Notamacropus eugenii: one gene and its partners. The protein of the gene in region 2 interacts with the protein of the main gene of each other region in a biochemical or structural test. Links are inferred from orthologs where the notes say so. Each region holds a gene or a part of one and is shown on either strand. Other genes may lie near its edges. The genes, in order: NOTCH1, RBPJ and SPEN.

The links.
Region 1: the proteins of RBPJ (region 2) and NOTCH1 form a complex in vitro, tested with the Homo sapiens proteins (5 studies listed by BioGRID and IntAct, with this or other methods). The link is inferred for Notamacropus eugenii from reciprocal best matches to the Homo sapiens genes RBPJ and NOTCH1.
Region 3: the proteins of RBPJ (region 2) and SPEN form a complex in vitro, tested with the Homo sapiens proteins (2 studies listed by BioGRID and IntAct). The link is inferred for Notamacropus eugenii from reciprocal best matches to the Homo sapiens genes RBPJ and SPEN.

What each region holds. Positions count from the first base shown.
Region 1 is NC_092872.1:489,517,900-489,525,979, reverse strand, and holds the start of NOTCH1 (neurogenic locus notch homolog protein 1), read right to left. Parts: upstream 3,009-8,080; 5' UTR 2,737-3,008; coding exon 2,679-2,736; intron 1-2,678. UniProt on the Homo sapiens protein: Functions as a receptor for membrane-bound ligands Jagged-1 (JAG1), Jagged-2 (JAG2) and Delta-1 (DLL1) to regulate cell-fate determination.
Region 2 is NC_092877.1:79,244,363-79,251,990, reverse strand, and holds the start of RBPJ (recombining binding protein suppressor of hairless), read right to left. Parts: upstream 3,085-7,628; 5' UTR 285-3,084; coding exon 232-284; intron 1-231. UniProt on the Homo sapiens protein: Transcriptional regulator that plays a central role in Notch signaling, a signaling pathway involved in cell-cell communication that regulates a broad spectrum of cell-fate determinations.
Region 3 is NC_092876.1:55,286,879-55,294,524, forward strand, and holds the start of SPEN (msx2-interacting protein), read left to right. Parts: upstream 1-4,564; 5' UTR 4,565-4,684; coding exon 4,685-4,767; intron 4,768-5,597; exon of another isoform or gene 5,598-5,958; intron 5,959-7,646. UniProt on the Homo sapiens protein: May serve as a nuclear matrix platform that organizes and integrates transcriptional responses. In osteoblasts, supports transcription activation: synergizes with RUNX2 to enhance FGFR2-mediated activation of the osteocalcin FGF-responsive element (OCFRE).

The DNA of each region.
Region 1 (8,080 bases), on a different chromosome or scaffold from region 2:
ATCCCATTCCATCTAGCATAGTACTATAATCTATTTATACCATCATAAGCACTTAGTAAATATTCATTATTGCTGAACTGTTGAGTCAGTTGTAGAAGAAAAATGTACATTCAGTAAATATTCTACATCTATCATATGTGTGTACATCCACTTCCACATATAAATACAGGTATGTATGTATAGAAACATACACAGGTACCAGATTTCTTAAGGGCAGATAACCCTTCTAATGAATTCTTTTGATTTTCTTAATGAAGTCAACAAGGAGGTAGGAAGGAAGAATGATAGACTGAAAGTTGGGCTGTTTCTATAAAGCCAGCTATCCAAGGTCTATCCCAGCCTACTAGCTCTAAATTGCACAATAACTTGGCAAAGGATGGGAAAAGTTACCCAGAAGCCAATCTGACCAATTCAACTACTCAAAAATTCCACCAGCATGACTTTCCCAAACTTCCCTCGATCTCCCTTCTCGCCCACCCAACCAGAAGCCTATACTTGAGGGGAGATCCACATCTCTTTCAAAGGGGAGGAGGGAAGGGAAAGAGAGGAAAAGGGAGGAGAGAGAAGAGGGAGGAGGGAGTGGGGGGGGGGGAGCTCAGACTACAGTGAGCGCTCAGAAATGCAGTGAATTGTCTGCCTGTTCAAACATTCATGGTAAAGTGACTTATCTAGCCAGTCCTGGAGGGGGAGTCTGAATGGCCCCAAAGCAAGCCGCACACACTCCCCTCCTGGTTCGTGGGAAAATGCGACAGCTGCGGGGCCCAGCTTCCCCTGAACTCCAACAAAGCGGGAATCAGAGCCGCCCATTGTAACTCGTTTAAAGACACCTCTTGTTGCATTATTGACTGTAGGGCTAGGATTGAATATTACCTCCCGGGACACTCAATACCTGCTCCCGGGAAGATCTGAGGTGCACCAATGGGCCCGCCTCCACCTCACCCCCCACCCCTCAAATGCTGGGCCAATTCACAGAATTCCGCGGACACCCCCCTCCACCATCCCGGTTCCATTCCTGGGCAGAGAGAGAAGTGCTTCCCCAACTTAAAGCCCCAATGAGGGGTTCGGGCTATATATATCAAACATGAGAATCTAGTGGGCCCGTCCCCTCTAGCGACCTCCTTTCTTGGAGAGTCAACTGAAATTAAGAGTTTGGGGTGGGCTGGGGGCGGCGGGGAGAGCTGTGCCCAAAGTCTGCGGCCTTTTTTTTTCTTTTAACACTTTTTTCAAAGAGGGGCGAGGAGGGTTAGGCAGTGTTGTTCTTCTTTGCACCGCTCGGGGAGGGGCGCCCACGAAGCGTGGGAAGCAGAGAGGAGGGAGGCAGTGAGTGGAGGACACCCGGCAGAGGGCTGCCTGACTCATCGCTGCTCCGTGGGCTGAGGGGGAGGAGGGAGCCGTATGGGGGGCCCCCTGCAAGTGAACGTTCTCCCAGTCCCGAGAGAGTTGTCATTCCTTAAGGTCAGGAGAAAAGAAAACTCCAAAGTAGAGGGTGAGATCACAGGAGCCAGAGAATGTTCTGTGAAACTTTTTTTTCTTCCCTCCCCCGCCTTTTTTTCCAGGAAGGGTTACAGATGCTTAGAAGTTTTAGGTTTTTGGACCAAAAAGTTACTCATCCCTTAAGCTTCAAGCAACTTTCCCGTAGCCTGCGGGACGGCTCTCCCACCAGAGTGGCCAAGGTCAGCACAACGGCCGGAATGCAGAGCCCTTGCAGCCCCAGGGAGTGGGGCCACATATTCCCCCCCCCCCCCCCGCTACGGCACCGGGGAGCGGGCTTCCGTCGGTTTCCTCGCAAAAACTCAACACTGTTCTGAGCCCGAAAACCCCGCGCCGCTGACATCCGCCCCCAGCCCTCGACCCGAAAGTGGAGTGGGCAGACGGAGAAGAAAAGACCAGAGAGAACAGGAAACCTGACTCAAGTTCGAATAGAAAGAACTCAGCCAGCGGAGAAAAAACCCAAAGCGGGGGGGGGGATGGGGGGATGCAGGTTTGGCCCGGGGCGGGAGCGCGGGGTAGGGGGGGAATGTAGGTTTGGCAGTGCATGGAGAAATGCAGGTTTGACTGCGGGTAGGGGGATGCAGATTTGGAAGGGGGCGGGAGAGAAAGCAGGCGGAGAGTAAGGGTCGTTCAAGAACTTAGCCTCAGCCTCCAAGGCATCTGGAACCCTCCCTATATTTCCATCAGTTTGGACACACAAGCCACACTCCGCACCTTCCCCTCCCGGTGCCACCTCAATCCCCTCCCTAAACAGAGCCCCCAAATTGGGGGAGGGAGTAGTCTTCCCTGCAGCCAAGAGTCTCCCGGAAAGTGGGGAAACTGGGGATGGATGACATCTTGCACATAGCCAGGGGCGCAAAGCTGGGAAAAGGTGACTCCAGGGGGTCCCATCCCGGCCAGGGAGGTACTGACATTCCCACTCACCCACCCACCCGTTTCGCTGCTGCCTGCACCATCACACGATGCCCGTAGTGACCAAGCCAGGTTGCTTTCCCCTCCCCTTGTACAATCCATGCCTGTTCACTCTCTCCCCAATACTGGCTGGATTAGCCGCGTCTCTTTTCCAGGAGGAAAAAAGTTTTCTCCAACGGTGCACAAAGTTTGCGGGCTTGCCCGCCCCGCCAGATTGTTCTCCCACCCCCAGATCTGGGGGTTCCGATCTCCACTGGAGCAGCCCCAAGTCCTACCTCGTGCGAGGACCGGCAGCAGCGACAGACAGACGACGGGCACTAGGAGCGGCCGCATGCCTCCAGCAGCGGCCAGCTCTCCCCCAGCGGCGCTTCGCTCGGGCAATCCCAGAAAGGCTCAGAGTGACATAAGGTCTCCGAACGGGCAGGGAAATCCTAAGCAGCGTCTCTCAGCTAGGGAGCCAATCTCGCCCTCGTCTTCCCTTTCTCGGCAGGCGGACGGGCGCGCACGCACTGCCCGAGTTCCCTCGTTCCCTCGCTTCCTCGCAGACTTCTCCGCGCCGCTCCGGCTCAACCCTACGTAACCTACAGCTGCCAAGACACTAAGTGAAGCTGCGAGCTCCGCGCCTCTCCCACTCCTCCTGCTCCTCCCCCCCACCCCAGCCGTGAACCTCCCTCTTCTCCGAATCCTTCCGCTCCCCCTCCACCCCCTCCCTATGGAGCTTCGCTTCTCTCAGCTCCAGAGCTCCCCGGAGAGACCGCGGGCCGAAGATGCTTTCTGGGGTGTCCAAAGCTCTCTTGAAGAACCCCGAATACTTTTCTGGGGCTGGGAGGGCCTCCCGTGCCAGGGGACTACTTCTCGTTTGAAAGTTTCAGAAACTACTGAAAGTTTGTTGTGAGCTTGCGGAGGGATTCTTGGTTCTTGCATGAAGTTTCTGTTCTTCGCCTAGTCTTTTACGTATTTGCATGTCAATGGAGGAGCCACTGGTTTCGGGGCCGGGGACCAGCAGAGTGGAGCGTAGGGTGTGCTTAGTCCCAGCCACCTTCCCTTCCTAACCTTGTCTCCGGCCTCCCTCTACGGGATGCTCTGTGGGGACTTCATGCAGAGGTAGAGAAGACAGGGAAAGTGGAAGGAACGTTCAGGACGAAGAGCCAGGGATTGTCCCAAAGACTGATCTGAATGCCTTAAAAGGCAGTGAGCTGGGCTAGGGGGACTTGGGTTTGGAGGAGTATTCTCGGGCCCCACCCTCGAGAGCTTTCCTGGAGTGGATGTTGGATTTGGGTAAGACTTGGGGGTGACCTAAATCCCCCTTTCCTAACTTAGGAATTAATCGTGGAGCACAGACAGGTTTGTGCATTCATCCTGATCTCTTTCCCTCCACCCCCTCATTCCCTGTAACTCTGGGCACTTCTAGGAGACCAGACGGGTCCATAGGAAGGTGACTGGGGACTTGAACACATTTGACCATGACGTCTTCGTGCACTTGACTCTCTTAGAGGGGTAGGTTTTCGGGTGCCACGGAGGTCATCTATTCCAACCTCTCGTTGAAAGACATAGAGAGGGTTAAGAGGCTTTGTCCAAATTCACACTGATAGTGTGTATTAGAGGCAGGATTTGAATCCAGGTCCCAAGACTCCAAATCCAACCAATCAGCAAGTATTTATTTAACCACTTACTATATACCAGGAACTATATCACTAGAGATACAAAGACAAAAAACAAACAGTTTTTGCCCTCAAGAAGCTTATTAATTCTGTTGGGGAACTATCTACACATACAAGTAAGCACGAAATCCATACCCTGTAAATAAAAAGTAGATAGGATGGGGGAGAGAAGAGACACTAGGTGTTGGGAAAGATCAGGAAGGGCTGTATATAAAAGAGGGACTTGTCCTAGATTTTGAAGCTGCTAAGGGATACCAAGCTGGGGGGTCTCTACACAGGCAGGAGATGGAATGTTATGTACCAAGAGAAGCAAATAGGCCATTTAACAGGAATGTAGTGTGTATGAAGTGGAATAATGTGCAAGGAGTCTGGAAAGGTTTTTTGGAGTCAGTGTGAAAATCTCTGAATGCCAAAGGAGATGGTATTTTTATCTTAAAAGCAATAAAGAGCCTTTGGAGCTCTTTGAACAGATAAATGACTGAGGCAGATCTTTAGGCCTCAGGTTGTTGTCACAGCTTGGTGGAGGATGTTTTGGAGAGGAGAGGGTCTAGAGGCAGGGAGACCAACTGGGACACCTCTGCATTATCCCATTCTAGAGGGATGAGGTCCTAGGCTAGAGTAGTAGCATGTAGTAGTAGCATCATAGTAGCATCCAGAGCGTAGAGAAGAGGCCAGAAATTTTATGGCTGAAGATCAACAAAACTTGATAACTAATTAGATATGGGTAATCAGGAAGAATGAAAAGTCAGGAATGACTCTAAGATTTCAATTTCAAACTTGAGTTACTGAGAGGGTGATGGTATCCTCAAAGGAAAGAGGAAAATTGGGAAGATGTATGAGTTTGGGGGAAAAGATAATGAATTCTACCTACTTTGGACTTGTTGAGTTGAGCTGCCTATGGGACCTCTCAGTGGAAAAGTCCAACAATCAGTTGATGATGGACCATAGGGAGATCTATAGTTGTAGATCTGGAAATTATCACCAAAAAGATAAGTGGATGGATGAGATTGTGGTAGAGAGAGTAGAGTGTAGAGATCACAGGACAGACTCTTGGGGCATACCCCATTAGAGTATGGGCCATGGATGGTGACCCAGGAGAGCAGTTTCAGGGGTGTGCTCATCCTTGATAAACGAATAGCCAGACAAATAGGTGGAGAATTGGATGACAATACTCAGAGAAGAGAGAGGAGATGGGAGCAGAGAGTTATTAGCAAGTGTCCTATGCTATAGCAAGGTCAAGAAGGATGAGAACTGAGAAAAAGCCATTAGATTTGACTAATTAAGAGATCATTGGTAATTTTGAGGGAGCAGTTTCATTTGAACAATGAGATCAGAAGCCAGATTGCAAGGATTTGAGAAGTGAGAGAAAATGCTGTCAAAGAATATAGTATTTCCACCACCCTCTGTTTCCCCCATCCCCATCCTCAACTCCTGCCTTCTACTCTCTCCAAACTTATGGCCTTGTGAGTCCAACATGAAGTTGGAAGAAAAGGATAGTGAGATTGTATCCATCTAAATAGACCCCATGTCAAAAACCCAACAAAGTTCCAGATGGTGTCTAGGTGTGTGAAAACATACTCAAAAATAAATCCAAGCGTCAAAATCCCTTCTATCTCAAGGTCTGTAGGCCTGCATTTGCTTTGATTCCATTAAACAACCATCTGTTAAACCTACTTTGTACTGTGTTAGGTGCTGGGGGAGATATTTCATTGATTTATACAAAAATTTTAAGCCATTCTCTTCTCTTTTTAATGAACTAGCTGGCTTTATGTGGATGCATTACCTTAGAAAGCAGTAGACCACAACTATCCTTACCAGAGTAGCTAAAACCTTTTCATTTACAAATTGAGCTTCTGAAGACTTTCTCTACCTTATTTACAAACACTTCCCCAAAGTTGGTAACAAATTATGTTCTCAAGCACTTTGTGGAGGGTTCCTAGATACTTGAGTCTGTTTGTTTGAAGAATCTTTTCATCAAAGGAAACCAAAGTCTAACATTAAAGGTTACTTAAGCAGAGAGACGTTAAGTTCAGCAACTTCACAGTTGAGTGGCCGTTTTTCCACCCACTCTGTCCCACAAGATCATAGGATGGATCCCAGAATTTACTTGGCCTGGCTGGAAGTAGACGGTCTATCCCAGTTCACTACTCAGACTATATCAGAACCTCAGAGTTAGAAAAGATTTCAAAGGTCATCTAATTCAATACATTTTCAAAAGTGTTTCAAATGTTTTAATCATTTTTATTGACTTGACATCTATCTCCTTGATTAGTTTTATATACAAAGAATAGAAAAAGAATTGCATATGAATCTCAATTACTGAAATCATGGTTATTATCTTTATAAATCTATAATAAATCTACATGGTAATTCCAATACATTCTTGTTCACCTGTGTCTCTTTCTGAATTTCCTTCTGATCTCTTCTGTGTATTTAATAAAGAAATGTTTCATTAACAATCTTTTTTCTTCTTATTTTGGCATCACTATTACTGCTCCCTTCATGATTTCTCCCCCATCCTCCAAAGATTTTTTTTCCTTGCAACAGATAAGTATAGTCAAGCAGAACAGATCTATACAATGGCCATGTCAGAAAATGTATGTCACATTCTGAACCTTTAGACCTCTCTGTCAAAATTAGGGAGTTAAGATTCATCACGAATCTTCTGGAATGATGGTGGTTCTCTATTTGATCAAAATACTTAATCAAGTCCTCCAAAGTTGCTTTTCTGTACAGTGTTATAGCTATTAAATAAATTGTTTCCCTGATTCTACTTAATTCGCTCTATATACAATCATATATACAAGTCTGTGAATCCATCCCTTTCATAGACCACAAATTACTTACTCATCCATTTTCCAATGGATAAGTACTCCCCTTATTTCTAATTCTTTAATATGAGAAAAAGTGCTCCTTTAAATGTTTTTGTACAAATTAATCCTTTTTTCTCTTTCCTTCATCTCTGGGTTTTAACCCAATAGCAATATCAGTTGGTGAAAGGATATGAAAAGGTTAGCAATTTTTGGGGAGTATGGTCCCAAATTGCTTTCTAGAATGGTACCAACTCACACTTCTCCCAACAGTACATACAAAAGAGTTGCCTTTTTTCCTGCAGCTACTCCAACAATTGTCATTTTCCATTCTTTTGTTCATCTTTGCCAAAATGATGGCTGTAAGATGGAAAGCCAGGGCTGTTTTCATTAATGCAACCTATTTCTAAAGAAGATCCTCTCTACAATATCCCTTAAAAGTGAACAAGTGATCTAGCCTTTACTTGAAGATCTCCAACAGACTCACAGCCTCCCTGAGGCAGTCTGTTCCACTTTTAGATAGCCCCAGTTGTTAGAAGGGTTAATTTTGTTTTGTTTTTCTTCACACAAAGTCAAAATCTGCCTCTCTGCAACTTCCCATTATTCCTCATTCTGTTCTTTGAGGCCAAGATTTAGAGACAAAGCTCCTTTCCAGAAGATACCCATTAGCATACTTGAAGAAAATAATGATGTCGTCCCCAATCCCCAAATCTTCTCGTCCAGGATAAATACCCCCAAATCCTTTCAACCTATCCTAGTTAGCACAGTTTTGTTTCCTGTCCTCCCTGTTCAGTTTACCTGTATGATGGTGATTGGTATCATAGATTTAGATCTGTTTCCCACTGGTGTATATATTTGGGGAGAATGTACCCCCAGGCTTATGGGGGAGATGTTTTGTTACTCCTGAACTTGCTATGTTATTTCAGTAAATGCCTTCTTTTTAGAAATTAAAACTGGAAAGGACCTGGGAGGTCATATTGTATTTTATACTTCTTTATTTTGCAGATGAAGAAATGCAGGCACAGAAAAGATAAGTGACTTACTCAGAATCACACAGTTAGGTAAGTGACTGAAAGGTATTTGAACCTAAGGTCTTCCTGACTCCCAGTTCACTACTCTATCCTTGATGCCTCCAAATGAGTTCCAGTTCATCAGTGCACTTTAAAAAGCATGGTGTCCAAAGCTAAACACATTAGTATAGCTGCC
Region 2 (7,628 bases):
TTGCTTCTGAATATTCTCCTAAAACTATGTCTCAGTGGGAGATGAAGAGGACCTGAGGTATGGCATGGAGGAATATATCAGAAGCAATAGTATGGCAGAGCAACATAAAAAGGGAAGTAATTCTTAGCCAATGCTACAGCTCTTTATGGTAAAAAATATATATATATATATATGTTCAGAAGGCATCAACTTTCAAAAGAAAAAAATATGAAAGAATATGAAGTTTCTCACAAGTGATGCTGGCTCCTCATAACTGAAGAAGTTTTTGACTGCATCACTGGCATTACTTCATTTGTACTTCTGTATTAAGAGACAGAAACAGAACCACAAGGCTCAGGATCAGAAGTATATTACTGACAGCAAACACGAAGAGCTGAATGAAGCCACTGCTGATGTTTAATAAGACGAGGCAAGGACAAGGTGACAGACAAGAGTCCCTCCAGCCTTGGACACTCACTGTGTGACTGGCCAAGTCACTTAAGCTGCCTGCCTCAGTTTCCTCAATGTTTTTTTTCTGGAGATAAAAATGAGATATTTGTAAAGTACTCTGCAAACCCTGAAGCACTATATAACACTATATAAATGCTAATTATTATTACAGTCCCAGAGGCATAGGAAAATTCAGAAATATAAGGGATAGACCTTTCATTTTCCCCTTGCAAAGAAGTGGCCACCTTAAAGCTGAAGACTAAATTAGACATACACGTTAGTTTTCCTCTTCTTTTTTCCTTCTATGTAGCTTTTTCTTAACTATAGTTTTTAGAAGTCTCTGAAAAATAAATGTAAGCAAATGAAGAAAGCATGTACCAGAAAAAGGTGATTTTTTAAAAAAAAGTTTGACAGCTATCTTTACTGCTAAAATATTGCATATAAAAACCTTACTCAATCTATGGCTGAATTATTTATTGACTTTTCACTTTTCCTCTAAATTAACTACTTTACTAAGTGTAATTAAGTGACAAGAGGACCACAGAGGAGCTTAAGCTGTATTAAGGAAGGCCTGGGTTCAAGTTCCACCTCTAATACAGACTAGGAGAGTGAGTGACCCTGGCCAAGTCACTTAAACTCTCAGTGGCCCTGACAACTCTATAAGACTTTTAGTTTCAAAGCAGGTGACCTTTTATGCTGGCAGGAGATTTCTCACTGAGAGTTTCTTAAACCAATGAAATCATACAAAACACAACATGGTTTACCTTTAGTAGTGTGTTTGTCCCTGGATTGAGAGAACCCTGCAAATATTTCTTCTGACAATCATACCTAGCTACCTTCCTGCTGGCAATGAAGCACAATGGAAAATGTGTTGGATTTACAAGTAGATTTTCATTGAAATCCCAGTTCTGTCACTTACTGTGAAAAGGTGCATGTGTCACTTAACTTCTAATGATTTAATAAAATGAGGGAATTGGACTAAATAATATTATCTCTAATGATTCTTCCAGTTCCAAATCTTTGTTCCTACAATCCTATACGGACATGCAGGACTTCACAGCTTCTATATTAAAAAAGGAAATGGAAATGCTTGCTACAGATCTATGAAAATCCAAGACACATTTTAAATATGACAAATTAATGGCAAACACAAAAATGTTTCAGTCTTTGCAAAAAAAAATACTTATTCAACCTTACCAAACCCTCACAAAACCGTAACTTTTTTGAGTTAACAAAAGAAGACCTGCAAAAATCAAGTTGGATTTTTCAGATGGTCCTAATTACTTCTTAAAGCTATCTTGGACATTGGACATTAAGAAAACTGACATAATTTAAAAGGTATCACTAAATGTCACCAGCCTACAAAACAATAATTTAACTCATAAGTAGATATAAACCCTCCCCTGACTCCCTGCCAAAAAAAGTGAGGTACAGTGTTATAAAGGGAAATTTCCGTCTTCTAAATTCAGAATATTTACATGACCTTAGAGGAAAATATTCTAAAATGACCTGAAAAATCTAATCCTTTAAAAATATGAAATGGGCTTCCAAATATGCTCTGCTTCTTTTTTTTAATCATAACATAATCAGAAAATGATTTCACTTAGTTTTTTTGTGTTTTTATTTTTGCCCAAGTAAATTCTCCAAGGAGAATATATTCTGTCTTTCCATTAATGAATGGGAAAAGGATTCACCAGAACTGAATAAAAATTTATTTTCACTACTTGCATACAAGAGGGAACAATAACACAGCAACAATAAAAATCATTCACTAGAAATTAAAAGCCAAAGTATGAAATTTAAGAGTTGGAAAGGGAAAAAAAGTCGGTTACAGGTTTATAGATCTTAATTATTTGAAGATATTATGTTGGTTTCCCAAAATGTCATAATGCTACAAAGCCCTTGAAAAGCTCTGTATAGTAAGCAGGAAGAAAAGAAGTAGACTTTAAAGAGGTATCTTTTTTGGAAAAAGAAAAAATAAGATCCTTAATTATTTCTGCCATAAAACATGAATTTGGGTAGCATGATCATCAAAAAGCAAAGGATACAGCAAGTGCATACATCAATGACCAACAATTATCAAGTGGATTAATTTTAAAAAACAACATTCTAGAATCTAAGACACTATTTCTACAAAAGAGAATGTCTTGGATTTAATAATAGCTCCAAAACATGTTTAATTACTGAAATATCGAAATAATTTTGTAATAAGGTGATTTCACCAATAAATCTGTGATTTAATGAGATTCTGAGATTTTCTATTAAATCAAACTGAAATGAATTACTTTCCTATCTGCCTCCAACATACACTGTTCTTTATTACTAAAAGATAAGACATTTTGTACCCTGCATAACCTTTATAAGCAACCAGAGTTGTTTCATATCTTACTACCTTTAGGAAAGCTTTTGGCAACAGATATGCACTACCAAATCAGGGGTTTTCCAAGGTTTCAAAGAGTCAAAATGGCTTTGATTGCATCACTCATGTAAAACTACAGAAACATAAAAGCCTGAACATTTTTCAGTGGTTATGGGTACCATGTACCTAGAATTAACATTATTGTTAACCACAAACAACAGTAAGACTAAGTATCACAAACACATAAATCATGATTAATAAGACAAACATTTGTGAATAAACAATACACACACTAAAAATAATGAATCACTCATTTTCCTGAGTGAAAATTTTAATATGTAGAACAAAAACAAATATACACCACGGTTCTGGCCTCCAGAGTAGTCAGACTTATATATGACTCAAATGACAGCACTGAAGCAAAGCAAAAAAAAAAACAAAACTAATCTGTACTCTGAATCAAAAATTTAGTTACAACCTAAAGTATTGCTCTGAATTTATGATGAAAAAAAAATTACTGCCCATTAACTGTTTTAAAAATCAGATAAAACTTAACAGTTGAATAATTCCTATAGCTATTTTTAATTCAGTTCTTGAATTTCTACAGCATAGCATGCAGGTTATACATTTAATACAAAATGCTAATACTCTAGACTCAAAACCATATCCACAATCCACAAAATAAAGCACCTTAGAATACTCAGTCATTATTGCTAACAAAGCCTGGGATTTACACTGTCAATGACCTAAGAACAATGGGTCACTGGGATGTTTCCAAGCCATACCTTTTAATCCACGCCATGGTACTTCAAGAACATGTTAAGGTGAGCCACGGCTCGGCACACTTCGATGCACCTCAAAACACCTCAGCCAGTGTATCATTCTCCTTTCCTTTGGAGATCATAATGGCTCCGAAGAACTATAATGCTTCCATTTCAATGTCAGTCTCATACAAAATTTCAATAACTTTAAAAAAACAAAAACAAAAAAAAATGACTTTAAGTGTTAGTATGTTAAAGCACTAGAGAACTGTGTTAAACAAACTGCCATGATCAAGAAAAATAAATAAGCTGTTGCTAATATGAAAAACTATGTTTTAAACAAATACTGTTCTATGTAAAGGAGTTAAGCTTTGCCATAGCTTCCTGGGGGCTAGCAATTTTTTAAAAATTTGGTCTCACTTTAGAACCCGGGCAAGTAGCTTAAACCTCAATTGTTGCTTCAGTTCTCCATCAATAAAAGAAGACAGAACAGACCACTCAGTCAAAGTGGTCAGACTCTGAATAATTATTTGGCCCAAAGTTGGATGAAACTTTTGCAGGAAGGCATTCTCTTCACAGGAATATTATTATTTTTTTTTTTTTAGTAAGAGGAAATAATACAGATCTGCTCCTATAGCAGAAATCATGTTGATTTAAATTTGTACACTTTCTAACAAATTGAAAAAATTTCAGTTGGTAAGGTCTTCTTATAGCATTTTATACTAATTCTAACTCAGAGATAGCAAAATCTATATAAGGGTTTCCTCAAATTTGATTTCTTGATTTTTCAAGATGTGGACTGGTAGAATGATTTTTTTTTTCCTCATTAAAAATTTTCTCCTTCTCATGGTTCATTTTTGGGGTTGGGCAATAAGAAAAGATTTCACTTGTAATTCCTATTTTTAATCTACTATGCATCTATTTTTATGTTTAAAAAAAGGAACTTGGAATTTGATCTACAGATAGGGAGACAAAACTGAATAGCTACTCAAATACATATATATATACACACTTATCATAAAAGAAATAATGATATTCTGGGATCAGCTCTGATTAATCAAGGTAAGTTTGATGAAACTGAACATTAAAGTAAGGGTTTCAATAACCAGAAAAGACTAGGTAGATAATAAAAGATAAGGTATTAAGTTATGTCTATTTATAAATGATAGGGAATATGGCAAAACCACAGGATAAAAGATTTATAGATGTTAGGAAACATTATTCCGAGAGTGAAACTAAATCCTTAGAAAACAACACAAAATAAAATACTAACAAATTTAAATATTACACAAGGCTGCTATCATCAGATACCACAACCTGAGATTCTGATTTTTAAATCACCTTTTACCAAATAAATTTTAGCCAGAAAAAAAAAGGCACTGCTTTACAAACTGTCCTTGAAACTACTTTTTACATCCAAATTATAAGAAACTACTGACTTTTTTATTTTTTAAAATGGAGACATCTTCCCATAGAAAACAATTCTAGTGCCAAGCAAAACTTTTAGAATTATATATTTAAAGGAGAGCTAGAGTATTCATTAAGCAGACATTTATTAAAAGCTTATTGCAAAGTACAGGAGGGTACAGGGGAAGATATAAAGATAATTAATCCTCCTCCCACCCCTCCCCATGGAGTAGTAGAAAATCACACACACTCAAAGTATGCATTAATATAAAATATACAAAGTTATAATGCTAAATAAAATATAACCTTAAGCATAAAATGTTATGCAAGGTCCAAGGAAGAAAACGTCATTTCTGATTTTTGGTAAGGGGTAGGGAAGTGGGTGGAGAAATACTTAAAAAAGGAGACTGTAGCACTTGAAATTGAATCCTGCAGGATGAGTAGGATTTCATAAATCAGTATTTTTTCTTTTACATAAGCAGTACAGGAATATTTCTCAAATGTACTTTATCAGCTGAAACTAGTCTCATTCATGTGTATCTCAGCTGAGGTAATAGATATAGGCAAACAGATGTATAGGAGTGTAATAGATATACTACATTTATTTTTTCTTTTAAAGTCTGGAAAAAAGGCAAAGAGAAAATGGTTGAGAAATTCCAAATTTCCTGTACACTTACAGGGAAATTTAAGATTTTATAGACAGCTATTCATTCATTATATTCCTAATTTTATTAAATGTAACCTACAAAATTGAGCCACTAGGCAGTAGGAGGTGTGTTCATGTGCAAGTGTACTTATCTGAACATATTTAAAATCAAAGTGTTTTAGCCTCTGTATCATGAACCTCTTTAGAAAGTGATACTATAGTGTCTTTCTTAAAATAATGTAGTTTTTTAAAAAATTCATGATTGAAGAAAATGCTAAATCTCGGTTGTTGTTCAGTCATTTTTCATTTGTGTCCAACTCTTCATAACTCCATTTGGGGTCTTCTTGGCACAGATATTGGAGTGGTTTTTCATTTCCTTCACCAGCTCATTTTATAGATGAGGAAACTGAGGCAAACAAGGTTAAATGACTGGCCCAGAGTCACACAGCTAGTTAAGTGTTTGAACTTAGGAAAATGAGTTTACCTGATTCTAGGTCCAGTACTTTATCCACTGCACCACCTAGCTGTTCAATTAGAGGTTATTGAAAATAAAGAAGGTCCCCTTGAAATCTATCCAAGGATGGTGGTTTGTGGATCCCTAGGTTAAGAACCCCTGGTTTGTCTGGTAAAAACAAAAAACACCTTTTCAAATAAAATCTACTGTAAAATATCACATTATATTTAATTATATAATCTTGATATAACACTACTGTAAGTCCCAAAGACAGAAAATGGGTAACTGGGTAACCTTTCTCTATGTTGACTTAATTAAAATATCTGTACCACACTGAAAATAATTAATGACCACTTTTATATCTCTTCCTTAAATTATTTTTAAAGTTAAGAGAATTAATGTCTAAATACTATAATTTAGATGTTAGTAGACATGAAAAGTCTCAATACTCAACCAATGTCCAAATTACAGTGACAAATTTAGCATGTCTAATATAAAAAGATTTTCTAAGGTAATTTTATAGCTCCAAATCCTAGGAACTAAAAAGTCTACCTGAGAACTCAATATTTTGCCTCTTAGAAATCAGCAACTCCCTTCAAAGTTAAGTATGGAGACTAGTTCTTAAAAGAGACTTTTTCTGATCTTCCAGGCTCCAGTACCCCAAAATGACTATATATATTTTACATTTATTTGTGAATGTTTTCCAATAGAAGGTAAACTCCAAGAGGACAGGGGATGTTTTCTTCTGGTGCATTAGTGGGACCCCAGAAAAAAACAGAAAAGGCTGCAGAGACTAGAAGACAGAAGTTGAAAAGTTAATCAAAACTCAACAAAGGGTTAAATAGCTCAACTGCAAATAAAGAGACCAGAAAGACAAAGGACTTGCCCAGAGAGTAAAAGCCACCTCAGTCTATAGCCACACAACATTCACTCACATAAAATTCCCAAAGGAGCATGGGAGATGAAATTCAACTGAACTGAAATTTACAACTAGGAAGGAGGAAGATCACCCAGCCCACTCCAGCTCTAGCTCCAACAAAACCCGTGGAGTTCTCACCAGAGCAAATAATGATCAAGATATCCAAAGAAAAGTTATAGGAAGTACCTTCTTCACATCAGAACTGAAAAAGGAATCCAACCAGAAACCGGAGGACAACTGGAAAGGACACAACCAGCAAAGCAGGCACCAGATTAGTTAGGTACCCTTCCAGCTTGCTCAGATAAGGGTTAAGGACATGTGTAGCCTGCAAGGCTCTGTGTCCAGGTGCATCAAGAATGGAGAGCTCCTCAGTAAAAGTCCCAATGTGGACACTCTGGAAGGGGTAGACAGCAACAGTTACACCAGTCACAGTCAAGCCATCAGACCTGGACAATCCAATCCCAGAGTCAGTGAATCATCTTCCAAGGTGCCAGGGCTTTAAATCTCAAAAATCTCGAAGAGGTAAGGTAACCTAGGGAGGCAGAAATCTGCACAGGAAACCAGGGCAAGACCAAAGCACAGCAGGAAGAGAAGCCTTACACAAAGCTCTAATTCATGAACTAAAGGTAGAGATGAGTAAATCAAAGGAAACA
Region 3 (7,646 bases), on a different chromosome or scaffold from region 2:
TGTTCTTAATGAGATTAAAGGTGTTATAGTTCTCTAGTATTTTCCAAAGTTTAATGAAAAATTGTATTTGTTACCCAGAAAATATAGATTATTTTCACACACAACCCCCTCCCCCACTATTCTTCCTGCAGCATTATCTTTTTTTAAATAAGTTTTTTTGAAGTCTTTTGCTTCTTACATCATCTTATTTATCCCCAGTTTCCCTCCCTCCCAGAGAACCATCCCCTCCGACAAATAGTATTTTTAAAGAGGAAAAAAATAACTACAACTGATTGATACATGGGAAAAGTCTGAAAAATGTGCAGTGTGGACTTCTCACCTCCATGAAGGGGTGTTTTGGAGGTGTCTTTTCATATCTCTTCATTTGAGTCTTGCTTTATAATATTGTTGTCCTCACTTTCGATTTTTCAATATGTGATAGTTCTTTCCATTTACATTGTTGCCGTCATGGTGTAGTTTGTTTTCTTGGCTCTACTTACTTCAGTCTGCATCAGTTTATATAGGTCTTTCCAGGCTTCTCTGTAATTCCTCACACACGTCACACACATCATCACACATCTTACAATGCAGTAATATTACTGTGAAGAATATTACTTACAGGGTAGTAATATTCCATTACATTAATATACCATAATTTATTTAGCCATTCTCTAGTAGATGGGCATCTCCTTTTTTTCTAATTCTTTGTATTAACTTTTTTTAAGAAACATATTCAGTGTTCTCCTGAACTGTAAGTTTCTTTAGCTCAATACTAGCATAATATATGGTGGAGTTTTTTCCAGTAAATTTCCTTAATTTAGACTAAGCGGCTTAATATTCTGTCAAGGGGCACCTTTTTGTTCTCAGAAACAGTACACTATTTGTTTTACTCAGGCGAGTAACATGAAAATACATCTGTTTAGACTCATATCCTTTTTGATAACATAAGCTGAGAATTATTTCAAAAATCTCAAACTGAGAAACATGTAGATTTGTTTTTTAAAAAATTAACATTTTGTTTATATAGCTATTTTGAGAGTTTACTGAAAAGGGGATTTTGTGATGAGTAAACCAGTTTGCCTGAGTAACTAAGGGTTCAAAAGTAGTTTTGTTTACTTTAAATGTAAACCATTAAATTTCTTTTGATTGATTTTAGAGCTAAGCTGGTTTGTTGCCCTCATTTGATACTTGGCTGTCAATTGTCCTGAGATCCCCCAAGACTTTTATTCCTCTGTATACCTTATATGCATTTTCAAAGTGGCAGTTTAGGCCATTTTACCACCTAAACAAAAGAGTAGTCAAAAGTACAATTAAGAATATTTGTAATTTCAAATGGAGTTTTAACAAGGGGTGTATGTGTGTGTGTGTGTGTGTGTGTGTGTGTGTGTGTGTGTGCATCCGCGTGCACATGCTTTTTCATAGGGAAATAGGTTTCTGCCAGAAGACCTTTAGCCTACTCCCTGAGTACTGGTTTTTCTTTATTATGAATATGATCCCTTTTAATTTCACTGTGTTCCCATTATTCTTGTATTCTCAGGAAAATAAATAGCTCCAATTAGTTTTTCTCTGGTAGGCATTCTTTTTATATCTCTATTCTAGATCATAGATGGACACAAAATATATCATTATTGTCAACACTATTGTATTATTGTGCTCTCTTCTAATTATAGCAAGGAGGTGAAAACTAGGTTTTTCCATCTTTTTCAGATCCTGGGTTTTCCTAGCATTCAAAGATATATTATTTGTTTGCATAACTGCATGATGGTATTTTCTGAACCTTGTCAACTTCCATGTCACTTGCTTAAAAAAAACCCTGTGTCTTGTGCAAAGTCTTGCTCTCCATGGTAATGTTTTGGTCTTTCTAAGAGGTTACAGCTAATTTATAACCCATTAGGTTTTATATGAGTAATTTGCATCATTTCTTATGTGCCTTACCCTGTGGTTGCTTGTACTGAAACTTATGCTTCATTGGAAGAGTGCAGGACAGTTCAATCTCTCCAGCTGTCATCTCATATATTGTAGACCAGTGGTGTCAAAGTCAAAGAGAAACAGGAGCCACAAAACTGTACGTAAGGCTCTCTGAGGAAGTTGCGTATTGACTTAGTTTTAAAATGTGATATTACCTATGTTTTATTCTACTTTATTTCGTTACATATTTCCCAATTACAATTTAATCGGGGTTGGACCCCATGAGTCCTGTGAGCTTCATGCTTGACACCTCTGTTACTGTCCATTAAAGTTTCTGTAATAGTTTGCTACCTTTCAGACTACTTATTGAAATGTTCTGGTACAGAAATGACTTGTATTTATGCTGAATCCTAAATCTCAAAGCAGGCTGTTTTCTCTTTTCTCCCCTATTACTCTTCATAGTTCTTTCACTGGCAAAAAACTTGCATTTCATTCAGTGGGACTTTTGTTTGCTTGAGGACAATGAGAGTGGCCCCTAAGGGTGCACTGTTTTATGTTTCTTTCCATTATATTATGAATGAATGCCACTGCTGTGGTTCTTTGTGGCTGTTTTCAACCCTAGACCTTTTTCTGTCCCTTCCTCTTACTGAAGTCCCTAAAATAAGCAGGGAAAAAATGGCTGTTAAAATAGAAAATGGAAACCACACACTTGGAAAACTCAGCATAGAAAATAAGCCTGTTAAATCAGTAGACCTACAATTTGGAGAATTTATACGTAACTTGTCAAAGTCCCAAACCCAATTTGATGAAAACAAGTCCACCAAGTTGGCAAGGTTGCCCTTGACCTAGCTTATCATGTACTGTAATTGTTGCCGTGTTGTATTTGTTTCCTGGAGCTTGCAACCGTGTAACTGCGGGGCTTTGCTAAGCCCCGGAATGTCCTCAGAGATAGTGGAGAGAGACTAGGTCAGTGGATCTAACTTGGAGACCGCTTGCTAAACACAGTACAGAGCGAATAAAGAAACGGATGAAACTGGAGTATAGTGTGATGCTTTTATCGCTGTGCAGCCATTAAGAAATTATTTGGTGATTAAAACAGACTAAAGCACAGAATGCATTTGAAACTTGAGACACTTCTGAAAAAAGTTAGTCTGAGGCTCGTTTGACTGTAGAATACAAGAGCTAAGTCTTACTAGGGAAAAATTTTCCTTATCGATGCTGATTTTCTCTGCTAATATGAAAAATAAAGCTCATTTCAGTCTGTGAGAAATGTATATTCCTTAAAACAATACAACCAAGTGTTTGTTTTCCAGGGAACTACCTGGCGTTTCCAGTTAACAGCGAGGTGTTAGCTCTAAAAGGCGTTCCGTCCCTGCGGGCCCCTCAGATCTTTCGGAGCTAGCTTCCCCTCCAGGCCCTTCCATTCCCCGCTCATCGGTGGCAGTGCCTGCGGCTGGCCCAGTGCTGTGCCAAGGGCTCCCTTAGGACTTTGCCTCTTAGCTGAGGAGTCGCGTTCCTTGGAAGAGGGGAGCAGCCCGAGGACTACCCACCTTTCCTCTAAGTACGGCTTCCAAAGTCTTGCTCTTGGAGAGGTCTGACCGTCTCCCTCCTGCCCTCGCCCCGAGGTCTGTTCTTGGCAAACCCTCGGCACGCTTCACCTACTGAACAGCCTTTTACCCGAGGAGCTGCCCTGGCTTCTAAGATAGCAGCCACTGCGGTGGTTTGGAGGTGCTCGTGGGGGCCAGGGCAGGGGACTGCAGGGGGATGGGCAGCGCCCCCAGCCGCAGTAATCCTAGCTGGCGTTTACAAGCCCCCTCGGGCTTGGCCGGCGCTTTCGGCCGGTGCTCTCCTGCGAGCTCGTGGCTCTCGTCCCCCATTTCACAGATGAGGAAGCTGGGCCTGGGGGTGGGGGCAGGGGCTTCCTTCCCCTCCCAGAAGGGCGCTCCCCCTACAGACTCCTTTCCTCGCCCCGCAGCTGGCCAGGGGCAGCGCATGCTTTCGGGGAGCCGCCAGCAGCGGCTCCGCCACCTCCAGGGCTCCCTCCCTCGGGGCCTAGCTCCGGGGGGCAGGGGAACCTTTTCGGCTCTCTGGTCGCGCGGCTGCGCACAGAGGGAGCGGCCCGCTTTGGTCTCTCCGTCTCCTCCCTCCCGCCTCCTCGCGCCTGCGCACCGGCCGAAAAGGCGAGCGGGGCCGAGGCTTCACTGAGCGCGTACCCGCAGCCCGGAGCAGAGGAGCGTGCGGGCGGGCTGGCGCGCGCGTGCGCCGGTGGGAAGCGTCCGGACTCAGGCAGGCGGCGAGCTCCGCCGTCGACGCCGTCGGCGTGGGGCTTCGCCCCTCCTCCCGCTCCCCCTCCCCTTCCCCCTCCCCCTCCCCTGCTCTCCCTCCCGCCCCCCGGAGCCGCCAGTGCGCATGCGCCGCCGCAGCGCGAGGGTCGGGTGCGAGTGTGTGGAGGAGCCAGAGCGGAGCGGGGAGTCCGGAGAGTCAGAACCTGGGGGAGAGGAATGGTGTCTGCACGGGGGGGAGCCGGAGGAGCCGCCGCCGCCGCCGCCGCTGCCGACGCCGCCGCCGCCGCCGCAGCTGCCGCCGCCGCCGCAGCTCCCGCTCCGGCTCCGGCTCCCGCTCCGGCTCCCGCTCCCGCCTCCCGGGGCTGAGGGTCCCGCACGGAGCCGGGGGGGCAGGACGAGGAGGAGGCGGAGGAGGAGGAGGAGGAGGCGGCGGAGGAGGAGGAGGAGGTGGCGGAGGAGGGGGAGGCGGAGGAGCCGCCGCCGCCGGAGCCGCCCCCGGGCCGCTGCCCAGCATGGTCCGGGAAACCAGGCACCTCTGGGTGGGCAACTTACCGGAGAACGTGCGGGAGGAGAAGATCATCGAGCATTTCAAACGGTGAGTGAGCGAGCGAGCCCGTCCGCCTGCGCCGGGCCCGCCCGCCCGGGGCCTCCCCCAACTCGGAGCCGGCGCCGGCCGGGGCCCGGCCTGGCCCGGCTCCGGGAGCCCAGCGGGCGAACGGCACCCCGCCCCCGCGTCCCCGGCCCCTCGAGCGGAGGCCCGCCGAGCCCGTTGCTGCCGGCGGTCCCCGCACTGGCCCGGGGCCGGCCCCGACCCGACCCCCGAGATCTGCTTGGGCAAGGGAAGAGCGGGGAAGCCGACCCGGCCGGCCCGGGCACTCACCTGCCGGCCGGGGGAAGCAGAGCCTTGGCCCTCGGACCGATGGGGCTCACCTAGTCGGGGGGTGCCCGGCCCCTTGGGGATGGGAACTGCTCCTCCCTCCACCCCCCTCCCCACCCCCCCTCCCCAACAACCCTCATGGACTCCAGGATGGGAAACTCTGGAGTCGCATAGCAACTCCTGCTGCCGCCGCCGCTCCTGCCCCGGGCTCGCCCGCGCCCTCGCTGGGCACGATCTTTGCCTTTCCTAAAGGGCTTTTGTGCGAAAGGAAAACAATACAGAGGGGCATTGTAGGGTGTGCAGAAGCGTGGGCACGGACGGCGCTGCGGGACCGTGGGCAGCCTCGTACGTGGAGGACATTAAGTGGAAATGGAAAACTTGGATTTTCATCGATGCCCGGAGATAACCTTTGGAGCTGCCTTCTCCGCTCGTTCGAATGAGGAAGGAGACTGGTGGGAACTAAGCGGTGGCGGTGTAAAAATGGTTTTATTTTTTTGAAGAAGTCAGCCTCCACTGCGGCCTGCTGGTCTACAGGAAAGCTGCGGGGTCTCTAACACCGCAGCCGCGCTGGCCCCATCCGTGGCGTGCCTGCCCCTAAAAACGTGGTGTTTGTGGTCCCGCAGAGATGCCGCACGCCTCCGAGAGCCTTGTGGTCCCTGCGCGGCGCCCGCTTGTGTTGGGTGGCACCCCACGTCCGTGCTCTTTGTGAGAGGCCCCCCGGATTTGCATTGCCAAGCCTCTTTAGCCAGGACGACGGACGGGGCTTGTTCACATTGTCTGGAAGGAGTCTTGCTGGCGCACGTTTCCAGGACTAGCCCTCGCCCTCCCCCCGGAGTGTAGCTGCCTCCTGATGCCTTCTGCCACTGCTTAGGGTAGCGAGGGTAGGAACATTGTGGAGCGTCCTCCCGAGTGAGTCACCATGGGAAAAGCAGAGTCGGTTGCTCGCACATGAGCAGCTCGGATCAGGAAATGGAAGCGGCCCGGGCCCAGCGGCTGCCTCGTAAATGGAGGCTCATTGATTACTGCTGGCTGCGGGCCGCCTCCGAGCTGGGCGAGCTGGCCCGGGAGCGCGCCGGGCGCGCCCCCGCGTGTGAAAAGGGCCTGTGCGGGGCCCTGGGGGAGGCGGGGCGGGGGCTCCTCATGACTTTCACCTTACTCTTGACTGGGGGGGAGGGCGGCCGCGGCCTGGGAGGGGGCGAGGCTCGGGCGGGGGGGGCGGCCGAGGAACGCACTCCCTCCCCCCTCGCCCCGGCAGTTGGGCCCCGCTGTGGCTCCGGGGGTCGGGGTCGGCCCGGCTCCCCTCGTGGTCCTCGCCCCGACGTCCGGGGCCGGGAAATGCCCGTGGCCGGCACGTGCCCGGCCGCCTCGGCGTGGCCGGCGTGTGTGGCCTGGCGGGCCGGCCCCGGTAGGGCTCGGCGGGCGGCGTCCGGGCCGGGAAGCGGAGCCGGAGCGGGCGAGCGGGCGGCTCTGAATGGCTCTAAAATGGCGGCTGGACCCAGTTTACGTGGGAAACGGCGGAGCCGCCGCGCCGCGGGGGGGAGGGAGGGGGAGGGGTGGGAAGCGGGGCCGCCTGCCCTCCCCTCCCCCTGCGGGACTGCGGACCCCCTGGCGGCCCCGAGCCCCCTCCTCTGCCCCCCCCCCCCCCCCCCAGCCCGGACACGCGGGACGATGCGGGGAAAATCGAATAGCATTTTTGCCTTCCCCCCCCCCCCCCCCCCCCGATGCCCTAGTGGCTCGTGGGCACTCGAGAAGCCACGCGTGGGGCCAGCCCCGAGCGGCGGGGCCGGGGATGGCTGCCTTTGTTTCCCTTCGCGGCTCTCCGTCCGCTCGGGGCGAGGCTTCCTTGTTGTGGCTTTGGCCGCAGCTCCTCCAGCCAGAACCAAAGCCTCGGAGAGGGGCCCGCGAAGCCTGCGGCCCGGGGGCGGCCCGGGGTCCGAGCATGCAGAGGGAGGATGGGAGGGAGCTCCGCGGCCCGGCTTCCTGGGAGGTGCTGTTTGCACAATAGAGCTCGTCCCTGCCTTTGTGGGGGAAGGGGCCTCGCAGCCTGGGGCGGCGGGGTCCTGCGCAGCCAGGGTCGCCCCCCGAATTGGGGCGCCGACGGAAGCTTGCTGTCTTTCCTAGAGAGCCCTCCGTACCTTAAAATGGCTTTTCCATTTTCCTGATCTCCTCTAGCAAACCCAGTAAGATTCCCACCCATCCCCCCGTCCGAAGAGACCGTAGAGAATATGCAAAGAGGTTGAGCGAGCAGAATTCCTGAATTCCTCTTACTCAGGCTGGAATGTTTTTCAAAAGCTGTCCCTCCAGCCCAAGCATAAAGGATAGCAAGCCATGGGGGGGACGGACCCTGAAACGTCACAATGATGCTGCCCCCGTAGTTAAAAGGCAGTCGAGTCGGTTAAAAGTTGTTTATTAAAGCTTTCTCCCCTCCCCCTCCATGATAGTATAGTAGTAGGTTCCTTATCTATATTTTATATCGATTAATAATTTCTACTTGTGTTTTTAATTTATGACTGAAAAATCTTTTTTTCTGAAGTCAAATATACAGAACCACCACCTGAGAACCGATTTTACCTTGCCATATTTTAAAATTTGGGGGG